3 linked regions of the Saccharomyces cerevisiae S288C genome follow. The gene in region 2 interacts genetically with the main gene of each other region. Each region holds a gene or a part of one and is shown on either strand. Other genes may lie near its edges.

Evidence for each region. Genes that interact genetically often act in the same process or in processes that back each other up.
Region 1: mutations in EHT1 (region 2) and PPT2 together harm fitness more than expected from each alone (negative genetic interaction), as found in Saccharomyces cerevisiae (2 studies listed by BioGRID).
Region 3: mutations in EHT1 (region 2) and BUL2 together harm fitness more than expected from each alone (negative genetic interaction), as found in Saccharomyces cerevisiae (2 studies listed by BioGRID).

What each region holds. Positions count from the first base shown.
Region 1 is NC_001148.4:271,794-275,014, forward strand, and holds PPT2 (holo-[acyl-carrier-protein] synthase), read right to left. Parts: upstream 1,023-3,221; coding exon 501-1,022; downstream 1-500. Other genes in the region: ATG5 (Atg5p), read left to right, coding at 1-401; ATP-binding cassette long-chain fatty acid transporter PXA1, read left to right, coding at 1,462-3,221. UniProt on the Saccharomyces cerevisiae protein: Transfers the 4'-phosphopantetheine moiety from coenzyme A to a Ser of mitochondrial acyl-carrier-protein.
Region 2 is NC_001134.8:584,091-588,538, reverse strand, and holds EHT1 (medium-chain fatty acid ethyl ester synthase/esterase), read left to right. Parts: upstream 1-2,376; coding exon 2,377-3,732; downstream 3,733-4,448. Other genes in the region: FZO1 (mitofusin), read left to right, coding at 1-1,992; ECM31 (3-methyl-2-oxobutanoate hydroxymethyltransferase), read right to left, coding at 3,881-4,448. UniProt on the Saccharomyces cerevisiae protein: Displays enzymatic activity both for medium-chain fatty acid (MCFA) ethyl ester synthesis and hydrolysis (esterase activity). MCFA are toxic for yeast and this enzyme could thus be involved in their detoxification by esterification.
Region 3 is NC_001145.3:44,844-50,204, reverse strand, and holds BUL2 (ubiquitin-ubiquitin ligase BUL2), read right to left. Parts: upstream 3,264-5,361; coding exon 501-3,263; downstream 1-500. Other genes in the region: COQ5 (2-hexaprenyl-6-methoxy-1,4-benzoquinone methyltransferase), read left to right, coding at 1-174; CTK3 (Ctk3p), read right to left, coding at 4,252-5,142. UniProt on the Saccharomyces cerevisiae protein: Component of a RSP5 ubiquitin ligase complex which specifies polyubiquitination and intracellular trafficking of the general amino acid permease GAP1 as well as other permeases such as PMA1.

The DNA of each region.
Region 1 (3,221 bases), on a different chromosome or scaffold from region 2:
TTATGTCTTTATCGGTCAACGAAGCTCGAAAATTTTGGGGCAGTGTTATTACGAGAAATTTCCAAGATTTCATTGAAATATCTAACAAGATAAGTTCATCAAGACCGCGACATATACCGCTCATCATTCAAACCTCAAGGACATCAGGAACTTTTCGAATATCACAACCAACTATCAGTATGACTGGAGTCAATCCTACGTTGAAGGATATTGAAGGCGATATTCTGGACGTAAAGGAAGGAATCAATGGTAATGATGTCATGGTTATTTGTCAAGGAATTGAAATTCCTTGGCATATGCTCCTGTATGATTTGTATTCTAAATTGCGAAGTTTTGATGGCTTTTTGTACATAACTCTTGTTCCTATAAAAGGCGGCGATAAAGCTTCCTCTGAGCTCTAAGAGCTGTTATATACGCATTTAAAAGTGTCATTCAAATATCGCAGAAAATAACTTGGACGTTGAAAATAGGGCCACATTTATACGGCTGCAAGAAAACTTTTACTCTCTTTCTACCAAGTTTGTTACTGCAATTAAATAATCTTTATCATGGGATAGCGAAACTAAAAACTCATGAGTGGAAAAGAGAGAATCGTAGTTTTTCGAGAGCTGTTGATACTTTGGATACTTTTTTCCAAACATCTTATCAAACTCTAACTGAGGTACACCTGTATCGGTTTGTGTTTTATATAGCATTCCAGCGTACAGTACTTGGGCAGGAGGTAGATCATGCTTTGAAACACAGCAACACAACGCTTTCAATGAGCATTCCTTCAAAGCCCAAACTCCCGCTATATATTCATGCAATCGTGGAGTTAAGCAGTTTTCTTCGATGAGAAGATTACTGAAATGAAATCTTTCCTTTTCATGCATGAACTTCCGTGTTATTTTATTCAAGGTAGAACGGCCACATGGGTCGAATGGGGAATATTTCTCTAGTATATGTGCAAATCTTGGCAAGTATACAATGTCAACTCCCACTCCTGCTATCTTACGTCCAATATTCCTCGATGCAAAACTCATCACTGGAGGCATTCAAAGCTAGCACTTATGAAATAAACGTTCATTAGAAAGCAATACTCCTGATAAGAAAATAGTGCTTAGCTTCTATTCAGCCTTCTTAAAGAACTAGCTTTTCTATCAAAAGTCAGATCTCTTATGACCGCTTGAACCTGTGGAATGTATATAAGCAGTTTTGATGTTAAGATTTTTTTTTCAATAGAATTTCTTCCTTCGGAAATAATCCCGATTAAGAAATTATTCTTGACGCAATATTCAGCTATATGTTGATCGGGCTTAACCGCATAAGTTTCGTTACCCTTTTTTACCCCAATTTTTAATTTCGGCGGTTATTTTCAGCCCTTTTAGAGTCAAGATATATAAGAATGCTTCTCTAAGAAGTGAGACTAACAATGAAACCCGTTTCAGACAATCTGGAAGTCTTAGAACGCATAACACAGAAATGTCAACAACATTAGCAGCACCAGCGAAACTAAAGAGTTTGCTCCTGAATCTACATACTCACTGTATTGGGCTACACGTTAACGATGTCACACCTAAAGTATATTTCAAGTTATTGATACGGCATCTTCTACAGATATCTAGATCAAACGCTGCTCATCCTAAGCTAAGAAGAAGGGCCCAGATTTTATTGGTATCGCTTTTCCTATCTGGTGTCACACTTTTTTCTGGTGTAACATATAGTACTTTCAAAATTATTCTAAAATGTTATAAATTTTACAAGTTTCCATGGAAGAGAAGGAATAGGAGACCTTTAATAAGAAGAACAAGATCTCAAATGCAATTAGACAGTGGTGCAAGAATAATGTATATTCCTGAAGTGGAATTAGTCGACCGCCAGAGTCCCGATGACAACAAATTTATGAATGCTACAGATAAAAAAAAAAGGAAAAGGATATTTATTCCACCAAAGGATAACGATGTATATGAACACGATAAGTTTCTTTTTAAAAATGTAGAACTGGAAAGAGCCAAGAATTCGCAGTTATTCTACTCAAAATTTTTAAACCAAATGAACGTCTTGTCTAAAATTTTAATTCCAACAGTTTTTGACAAAAACTTTCTTCTTTTAACTGCTCAAATTTTTTTCCTGGTGATGAGAACTTGGCTCTCTTTGTTTGTAGCCAAGCTGGATGGACAAATAGTCAAAAATATAATTGCTGGTAGAGGAAGAAGCTTTCTGTGGGACTTAGGGTGTTGGTTTTTAATTGCTGTCCCTGCTTCTTATACTAATAGTGCTATTAAGCTACTTCAAAGGAAGTTGAGTTTAAACTTTAGGGTAAATTTGACACGTTACATCCATGACATGTATTTGGATAAAAGACTAACATTTTACAAATTAATTTTTGATGCAAAGGCGTCCAATTCGGTAATCAAGAATATCGACAACTCCATTACTAATGATGTTGCAAAATTTTGCGATGCGACATGCTCCGTTTTTGCAAACATTGCAAAGCCAGTTATTGATTTAATATTCTTTTCGGTTTATTTACGTGATAATTTGGGAACTGTGGGAGTAGCAGGTATATTTGTTAATTATTTCATTACTGGGTTTATTTTGAGGAAATACACGCCACCATTAGGTAAATTGGCAGGCGAGAGATCTGCTTCAGACGGCGATTACTACAATTATCATCTAAACATGATAAATAATAGCGAAGAGATCGCATTTTACCAAGGAACAGCAGTGGAAAGGACGAAAGTTAAAGAGTTGTATGATGTGCTGATGGAAAAAATGCTGCTGGTTGATAAAGTCAAGTTTGGTTACAATATGTTGGAAGACTATGTTTTAAAATATACATGGTCCGGTTTGGGTTATGTTTTTGCCTCAATCCCTATCGTTATGTCTACCTTAGCGACAGGCATCAATTCAGAGGAAAAAAATATGAAGGAATTTATAGTCAACAAAAGGTTGATGTTGTCGCTTGCAGATGCAGGCTCGAGATTGATGCATTCGATAAAGGACATCTCACAATTGACCGGCTACACTAATAGGATATTTACTCTGCTTTCCGTCTTACACAGGGTTCACTCTCTGAACTTTAATTACGGCGCTGTTCCTTCAATCCTGTCAATACGTACAGAAGACGCTTCCAGAAATTCCAACTTATTACCCACCACGGATAATTCGCAAGATGCTATTCGTGGTACTATTCAACGCAATTTTAACGGTATTCGGTTAGAAAATATAGACGTAATCAT
Region 2 (4,448 bases):
ACAGGTGATGTAAATACTGGTAAATCAGCTCTTTGCAACTCTCTATTAAAGCAGCGTTTGCTACCTGAGGATCAGCTACCATGTACCAATGTATTTTCCGAAATACTAGAGGCTCGGGAAAATGACGGCATAGAGGAGGTTCATGCCATACCACTAAACATTGCTCCGACTCTCAAGGAAGCCATTGATATGTATTCAATACAAAATCCCAAGACTTATGAAATACACACTTTGAAAGAACTTCCCGATTTGGTTCCCCAAAACGGAAAATATGCTTTACTGAAGATTTACATAAAGGACGATAAAAGGCCTGCCTCTACTAGTCTATTAAGGAATGGTACTGTTGATATTTCATTAATTGACTCCCCTGGGTTGAACATGGACTCGTTACAAACCGCCGAAGTAATGTCCCGACAAGAAGAAATCGACTTAGTTATATTTGTTGTCAATGCAGAGAACCAGCTAACACTATCTGCCAAGGAGTTTATTTCTTTAGCATCTCGTGAGAAAAAATTAATGTTTTTTGTTGTGAAAAAATTTGACAAAATCAGGGACAAACAACGTTGTAAGGAGTTGATCCTAAAGCAAATCCGTGACCTGTCCCCAGAAACATATAAACGTGCAGCTGATTTTGTCCACTTTGTTTCCAAAAACGGAGATGAATTGCCACATTATCATAATGAAAATGACAATGAAGATCATGGTGACCGAAAACCTGACGACGACCCATATTCTAGCAGCGATCCCGATCCGGATTTTGACAGTCTGGAAGATTCTCTACGCAATTTTGTTTTGAAGAAAAGATCACTTTCTAAATTGTTACCTGCCAAGACTTATCTATCGAAATTATTAAGCGATATAATAATGATCTCCAAATCTAATATGAAAATGTATAGTGAAGAAGAAATAAAAATTAACGAACAACTGGAAACATTGAGACCTGAAATTTTGAGCGCTAGAGCAAAGTGCAATGATTTAACAACTTCCGTTGATCAAATGGCCGAGCAAACAATTACAATGACTTATAACAATACTAAAGAAGCACTTCTCAATGCGTTGGATGTTCCGCTACACGAATATCCGAAATATCAGGGCCTCGGTCAAATTTATGACTTCATATTTTCAACAGAAGCGTTCATAGCAAATCAGATTGATGAGTCAATAGGATCAAGTGAATTATTTGCCAAGCAAAAGACAGATTTACTGGTAAAAAAAATTTATGAGATTGGAAAAAATGAACTTGGTGATGATTTCATGTGTGAACGTGTTTTCAGAAGCGAACTAATGTTTAGAAAAAGGAAGCATTTGATAGGAAAAAGGCTTAAAGTATCTTTGTCAATAACTGATTTGTTTGCTCCAACTTGGAAAGGCTTTTTGTCTTACTTAAGCTGGCAGAAACCTGTCACAGCACCACTGCCGGATATAGAAGGACAAACTAACGAGGGTCAGATTGGCCTAATGAAGTATTTGGGTTTGAAAAATTATCCTTTGACACAATATTGGTCAAGACCATCATTGCTCTTCACATCAAAAATTCCCACTCTAACGCTGTACTTTCTAGGAAGTACAAAGGTTGTGGGGAACATTATATTAAACGGCATTAAATTATCGTCGTGGAGCTCACTCAAGAAGTTATCAGTTCCGGTTATAGTGGTAGGTTCCTTGTTGGGACTTACGTATTTAATTCATGACCTCCCCCGTGCCTTACCAATGAATCTTTCCATTAAATACAAAAGAAAGTTGCAAGAACTGGATTACATTCATCTTAACGCTCAAAGAACCTCAAATGAAGTACGTGATGTTTTGCGTGTACCTACACGTGAAATTCTAAGGTCGTGTGAAATAATTATGGATAAAAAACAAATCACTAAGAAAGAATTGGAAAACAAAAAAGAAAGTAACTTGTTGTCAATCAAATTCTTCCAATCTCTATACGAAGGAACCGTGGCTCAAAAATTGATGGTGGAAGAAATAAATTTAGACATCGATTAGATATTCTTGTAAATATATGAGGTCTTTTCAAATCAATATACATAATGTTACTTATTATTTTATTCCAAGCAGGTCCATTTTTTTTTTCACTTTGCACGAAATTACATAAACATTAAAAGGACCCTTGTGTATCTGCTTAATGATTTGCAAAACCTGCGGAAACGGAACGAAAAATGAGCAATCTCGTTCCGGTTCCGAGATCCTTTTTTTTTTTTAAATCTTGCGCATGTGCAGATTTTAAAAGGCGTCAGATATCGGATGTCCCTGGAAGTAATAGCTCCTCGAGTATTTCCTCCGTTTATTATTAATATGAGCAGTTTTTTAAGTTCTATTATTACATTGATAGTAGTTGCGTAAAAAACAAAGCTCATAAAAGTTTCCGATATGTCAGAAGTTTCCAAATGGCCAGCAATCAACCCATTCCATTGGGGATACAATGGTACAGTTTCGCATATTGTCGGTGAAAATGGTTCCATTAAACTCCATTTAAAAGACAACAAGGAGCAAGTTGATTTTGACGAGTTCGCTAACAAATATGTCCCAACGTTGAAGAATGGTGCCCAATTCAAATTGAGTCCTTACTTGTTCACAGGTATTTTGCAAACTTTGTACTTAGGTGCTGCTGATTTCTCTAAGAAATTTCCTGTATTCTACGGCAGGGAAATTGTCAAATTCTCGGATGGTGGAGTTTGCACCGCTGACTGGCTCATAGATTCATGGAAAAAGGATTATGAATTCGATCAAAGTACTACGAGCTTTGATAAAAAAAAATTTGATAAAGACGAGAAGGCGACACATCCAGAAGGATGGCCTCGTTTACAACCACGTACAAGGTACCTGAAAGATAATGAGTTGGAAGAACTACGGGAGGTTGATCTACCCCTAGTAGTTATTCTACATGGTCTTGCTGGTGGTAGTCATGAGCCGATTATAAGATCTCTTGCTGAAAACCTGTCTCGCAGTGGGAGATTTCAAGTGGTCGTCCTAAATACCAGAGGTTGTGCACGTTCCAAAATTACCACCAGAAATTTATTTACAGCTTATCACACAATGGATATTCGCGAGTTTTTGCAAAGAGAAAAGCAAAGACATCCAGATAGAAAACTATACGCTGTGGGATGCTCTTTTGGTGCTACGATGCTGGCAAACTATCTGGGAGAAGAGGGCGATAAATCACCTTTATCCGCAGCTGCTACTTTGTGCAATCCTTGGGATCTTCTCCTTTCAGCAATTAGGATGAGCCAGGATTGGTGGTCAAGAACTTTATTTTCCAAAAATATTGCGCAATTCTTAACAAGAACCGTTCAGGTTAATATGGGTGAATTAGGAGTTCCAAATGGCTCTCTCCCCGATCATCCTCCCACAGTCAAGAATCCATCTTTCTATATGTTCACGCCTGAAAATCTAATAAAGGCAAAGAGCTTTAAATCGACCCGGGAATTTGATGAAGTGTACACTGCGCCTGCTTTAGGCTTCCCAAATGCTATGGAGTATTATAAAGCGGCCAGCTCAATAAACAGAGTTGATACAATTCGGGTTCCTACCCTTGTTATCAATTCCAGGGATGATCCTGTTGTCGGCCCAGATCAACCATACTCAATCGTGGAAAAGAATCCTCGTATTTTGTATTGTAGAACCGATTTAGGTGGTCATTTAGCTTACCTAGATAAAGACAACAACTCGTGGGCTACCAAGGCAATTGCAGAATTTTTCACTAAGTTTGATGAATTAGTCGTATGATGTCACACAATTTTCAAACCACTTTCCTATGTATTTATACAACATTGGATCAATGCCCCTTTATTTTAAGTTATGTATTTTTTGTTGTCTTCAGTATACCTAAAATTTAAAGTTTTTTTCCCTATGCAGTGATTTTTATCTATATATTTTACTTTTCGTTAATTGAAGAGAGGAATTCATTCCATAAGTCCTCCTTAACTTTGAAAGTATGAGTACCTCTCTCAGGAAATGTCCTATCCTCTACACTTGCAATGTACTCCTTCAAGCCCTGAGTGGCAATATCTGTCATATTTACAGCTTGCTTCACAAATTTTGGGACAGAATCGCCTTGCATCCCGAGAAGGTCAGATATAACTAGAACTTGTCCACTGGTACCGTTACCTGCACCGATACCTATTGTTGGTACTGAGAGTTTAGATGTTATGAACTGAGCCATCTTATGGGGGACACATTCAATCAGGATAGACCAACAGCCAATTTTTTGTAGTTGCATGGCGGTTTCATACAGCTCCTGCATTTGTAATAGACTTTTGCTACCTTGCACTTTATAACCTCCAAGTGAATGAACTTTTTGGGGAGTTAGTCCTATATGAGCCATAACAGGTATACCCCGGGAGCACAGTTCTTCAATAAATTTCATTGCATATTTGTCTTTGGTGTAAGAACCGACTTCAACTTTGACTGAGGTGACTTTACTGTCCAATTTCATGATATCT
Region 3 (5,361 bases), on a different chromosome or scaffold from region 2:
GGCTCGATGATTGCTAATGACTACGACTCTTACCAGTATTTGGTGGAGTCTATCGAAAGATTTCCTGACCAAGAAACGTTCAAATCCATGATTGAGAAGGCAGGATTCAAATCTGCTGGCTACGAAAGTTTAACTTTTGGTATATGTGCCATCCATTGGGGCATTAAAGTTTAAAGTAAATAGAACAAATTTCCTTTTTTTTTTGTCAAGAAAATCGAAGCTAGTAAAACATGCCTATACTATTTCTGTCTCTCTTCTTCTTTAGTAATACCTGTGCCATGTGATAGCCATATATTTTGCTGTGATGTGCAGAATTCGTATATACTAGGGGGAAATAGAACGAAAGAAAGAAAGAAAAAAAAAAAAAGAAATAAGTGACTGTACATAATATAATAATATTAATGATATTAATAGTAATAGGTATATTAAATGGTTAAAAAATAGTCCTGCTTTTATCAATTATTTGTAAAACTGCGAGATTACTGTTAGTGTTGTATGGTCTAAATTTGTAACTTTTTCACATCAACCGGAATATCAACTTTCATAGAACCCAAGTGGTTATCAAATTTGATGTTTACTCGAACACAATAAAATCTACAACACAAACACGTTTCAAGATTGGGCACTAACGTTTCTTTAATGTTGGGGTTGAGCTTCAAATTAACTGTAACATCCCTCTTATACTGTAATGGCTTAACTTTTTCCCATTCATGCACAATTTGCTGAGTAAACTTAGTAGCGGTGGATGCACCATTGCTAAATGTTGCTTGTAAGAAATTATTATTACTGGATGACGCGGAAGGAGGATTGGAACTTCCTTTCTTCGAAATAATATCCTCGTTTTCTTCTTCAAAAGTATGTATTTGCTTTTTGAAGATATCATGTAAATCAATAATGTTAACTTTTAATCCAGCTAAACTGTCAATATCATTGTTTATTTGATCAGATATGAAATTTGTGAACAAAAGCTCTTTTGGAGTGAAATGATCTCTATTTCTATTATAAAGCTCGTTTAGCTTCGCATGGTTTTCTTCAAATTTTTTACGATATTCATGAACTTTTTTCTGATACGTCAAAAATTTTGTCTTTAGTTTGTTTAATCTATTCTCATTCATCAACAGTTCAGTGCAGAATTTGATAGGAATCGAATTATCAGACTTTGCTGTGATGACCACAAATTCTGTCGTTACAGAGCTTATTTCTGGCGGCTTATGTCCTGCACTATTATTAGATTGGATACAAGTCAAATGTACATCTAACTTGGTCAGTGGGGTTTTCACTCCTTCTGGAAGCATGCCCATTAACCTTTGCCAGTTTTCCTTTTCTTGTTCACTCTTTGCTTCAAATTTGTTGGTTTTTCTCAACAATGATGGTGACCAATAAGGTAATGTAGATTGCGGTTTTTTAACTGATAATACAATCAATCCGGAATTATATACATGTGGACCAGTTGAAGATGACCCCGTTTCTGATGAACTCAAAAAATGAGAAAATAAACTTGAATTTGATTTATTCTTATTTTTAAACTTATAGCGTAACTCAGTCTCGACTAGGTTTTCCTTTGGAGCCATATTTTTGGAGTCATAGGATGGTGATTGGCTGGCGGTATCATCAATCCTGTTATTGATGTGCAGTTGATCTAGCTTACGTCTTAATATCTCATCGGAATCCAAATCTTCATTACCGTCCAAAGTCCCGCTTATATCTGTGTCATGAATATCTACATTCGAAATGGCCTCATTTAATTCCAGTTTCTTGAAAATCTTGTTCAAAGCTTCAAATCTATCTTCAATCAAGCTTTCCAAATTTTTCAGTTGTCTCAAACACGTTTTCTCGTTTTGTTGATTAGTGACACCAGCAAAGGGGAAGGGCATAACTCTCAAGTTATATTCTTTTTCTTTCATAATATTCAGCTTAGATGTTCTTTTATCTTTACCGACAATTTTGGCATCAATTGTATAATTTATTGATAAATTATCATCTGCCATGTCAAGTGTCAGAATGGGTGAACCTTTTGTACCTAAATGCCCACAGCCAAGGACACTATTTACTTTTATGCCAGAGTATTTACAATTATTTTTATACTTGTCGATACCAAAGCTGGGAGGCAGAAGGCAGTGTGAGAATTGCTCTTGTTTGCAAGTCACGTCCAATAACTGTGTAGGAAGCTTGAACATGAAGAATTTCTTATACTTTGTGTTCGGCTTCAATTCTCTGCTGTTTGAAAGACCAATGATGGCATCGTCAAAATCCCTTTCACCGGGGACAATATTAATACCCGTACTTGGGGTTATGTTTGTATAAGACCAAGATGCGCTCAAATCGACCATTCTTAAAAATCTCTTTAACGTTCTTTTCCCTTTCTGACGGTCAATTACAGATATGTACGCTTCTAAAGTGACATAAAACATTTCAAATTTCAGTGGTTGAGAGGACCGATTTTCAATTAAACAATAACCATGAATAATATCACCCGAGGTGTATTCCTTCAATATTGACTGTTCCTCAGGACGCTCATGAGGTATTGATGCAGTTTTCGTTATTCTTATATCAATTTCGATAGGAGTGGATAACTTGGGTAAGGTGTATAACTTGTCTATAAAAATGTTATCCGAGTCGTTTAGATCATCTTCGAACGGTATTTGACTGATATTGGTGTCTGATGAAGAATGGAGCGACTGTCCACCACTTCTTGTACTGTTTATTGTAAGATGTTGTGTTTGTAGAGGATGTAGGTTGGTAAGAGAATGGGCAGTCGCATTATTACATGCGTTTTCGGATCCTGGCACTGCTGTCAATTGTGACCTTTCCACGGAATTATCATTGCTGGGCAATATAGTCATTCTTTGAGTGCGAACTTCTTGATAAGAAGGGGGGAAATCATGTCTATCGGGATCAACGTTTCCTTGAGGTATGTGTCTGTGCAAGGCATTATACATCTCAAAAGATGGTAGGACATCCACTAGCATATTTGCTCTATGAGATAATCTTGACTGTGTGCAGTCCATTTCCAGTGAATTTTCCTCTCGTTCTTGTCGTAAACGGTCTAAATTGGTTGTTGAAGCGCTGCGTATGTCATCGTCCTGGCTGTCACTTGCACGTGGAGTCTGCCCACTATTTGGATGCAGCGAATTATCTGTAGAATTACTTGACAGCTGCTGTTGACGCCGCTTCCTCAATAGATGAATGTTATCTTCCGTAGAAACTGATTTTAAAGGAGGTCTCCCATTTTTCCTTGATGAAGTGGAGAATGTAAAAGTCATTAATACTTCTTTTGTTCCCCAGAATATATCTCAAATCTGCTGCTTCAGTTGCAAAGTCCTTGGCCAAAACGGGTAAGAAGTTGAGATTCTTGTCGAGAAATCCTACAGAAACAGAAATCAATTATTGGTAAGTTATGCACAAAATGATAATTGCAATATTTGCTTTACGCATATCTGTTGGACGATTTCAGAAATTTTTCTTAATTGGTAACGGCAGATAAAAAATAAAAATCACCAAAAGAGAAATGCAAAGAGCCTAGACTACCAGGAACAGGGCGAGCAATGGCGGGGCGACTATAAATATACGAACAGGAAAAGGCGAAAAACCGGTGCCGTATATACATAAAAAAATGATAACGCTTCAACGTGCAAAGGAACCGTCACACATTTTTGATGTGAAAGAAGTAATATTCTTGGCACTTTTCTATCGTGGACCTCTCTGTGAACGAATGCTCTTCCTCTGCTCAGTCCTTTCCAGCTTGTAACTAGACAAATTCCCCGCGGTTCTTTATGATCTTTAAGCTCGAACCACAAGGCAACAATGAACCTTCTCAAATTTTAAATTCGCTTATGTAGCAACCATATCAGCCCGAATGTAAATTCATTTGTGTAGAAATGCGGCGTAAAACCATCGAATGAAGGGAGTAGTCTAACATGGTATTTTCCTTGGCTTGTTTTAAGTCTCGTCAAACTCCTCTTTTGTGTGTTTTCAGCAATAGGCTACGGCCAGGTCCACAGAAATTGACTGTTTTATACTCAACAACACACTCTGCAAACCGTGTTAAGTTTATTCGTCTGCACATGTTGAGGACTACAATAAAAGTAACTTAGAGGAAAATTAGCCGCCGTTTCACCTTGAATAGTTTGCTTTTCCTGAAATCGAGATAAGAAAAAGACAAGTTCATTTTGTACGCGCATTGATACGTATATACGTATATATAATACAGATACGGATTCTCTTCACAGATATATATATAACGTCATGGTACTAATATATGTAAGATGCCTTCGCAATGTCATTTAAAGCCTTGATATTTTTGTAATCGTCCTTATCAAATCCGGAATCAGTAGTTTCAAAATGCGTCCACAAGCTTTTAAATTCGGATTCATCCAGTATATCGTTGGAGGGCCTTTCGATGTACCAACTTGTCTCTTTCGACCTCTTGTGCAGTTCCCTGTCTGCTTCCATCCTGTGCAACAAAATGTTTGCATTGGTTGGCTGCGTCTGTAAGTCCGGGTTGATCGCAGTTGTATCGGAATTGAACTGCTGAAAGAAAGCCAATTTCTTCAAGTCTCTGTCCTTAAGCAGAGACTCCGTTCGTTGCAATGATTCTTTATAGTCCTTTGTAGTCCTCTCTGTCTTGACACTGTACCAGGTAGTAGCGTCTATGAGTGTGGTGTCTGATGGTGTGTGCGTGACGCTGGTGGCGTCGTAATGGATTAGTTTGGATAAGTCAAGGAATAGCTCTTTACAGGTGGCTTGATTCGTGAGGGATTTCCAGTCCTGGCAGGGCAGACAAAGCTCAAAAACCAAGTCTATGTCCATGAGTAGCACTTCGTTTAACACTTTTGTAACATTGGTATTGGAATGGCTATGCGGATATAAGTTTCTTATTATTCTAACATAGTATATCACTACGTCCAGTCTATCTAGTGGGTCCATCTTCATGGTTGTATCGAACAAACATTGGTGGAAGTCCTCGTAGTGATGTCTGTAGTTTCTCAAGTAGAACTGTATAGGGTCATTGTTCAGCTTTTGTTGCGATGACGGTGGTGTGGTGGTCGACGATGATGTGATAGAGTCTCTGGTCTTGTGCAGCGTCTTTTGCAGGTTCTTCAGGACCTGAATGAATTGTAATCTAGCTTCAAGAGAGTCCATCCTTGCTGTATACCTTTACCTGGCAGTGCTTTTGTGAGAAATTAACTACCATCTGGTATTCTTTTTCCTTTTCTTTCTAAAATTCTAGTTTTTCATGTTGTGCTTAATTAGGAAAAACAGTGAATTTGAACAGTTGCTGAAGTTGAGATCAGTCTTAAATATACATTGCTCAAAGAAGTACAAATACATATAAATATAAATATCTATGGTTTTCTCAAC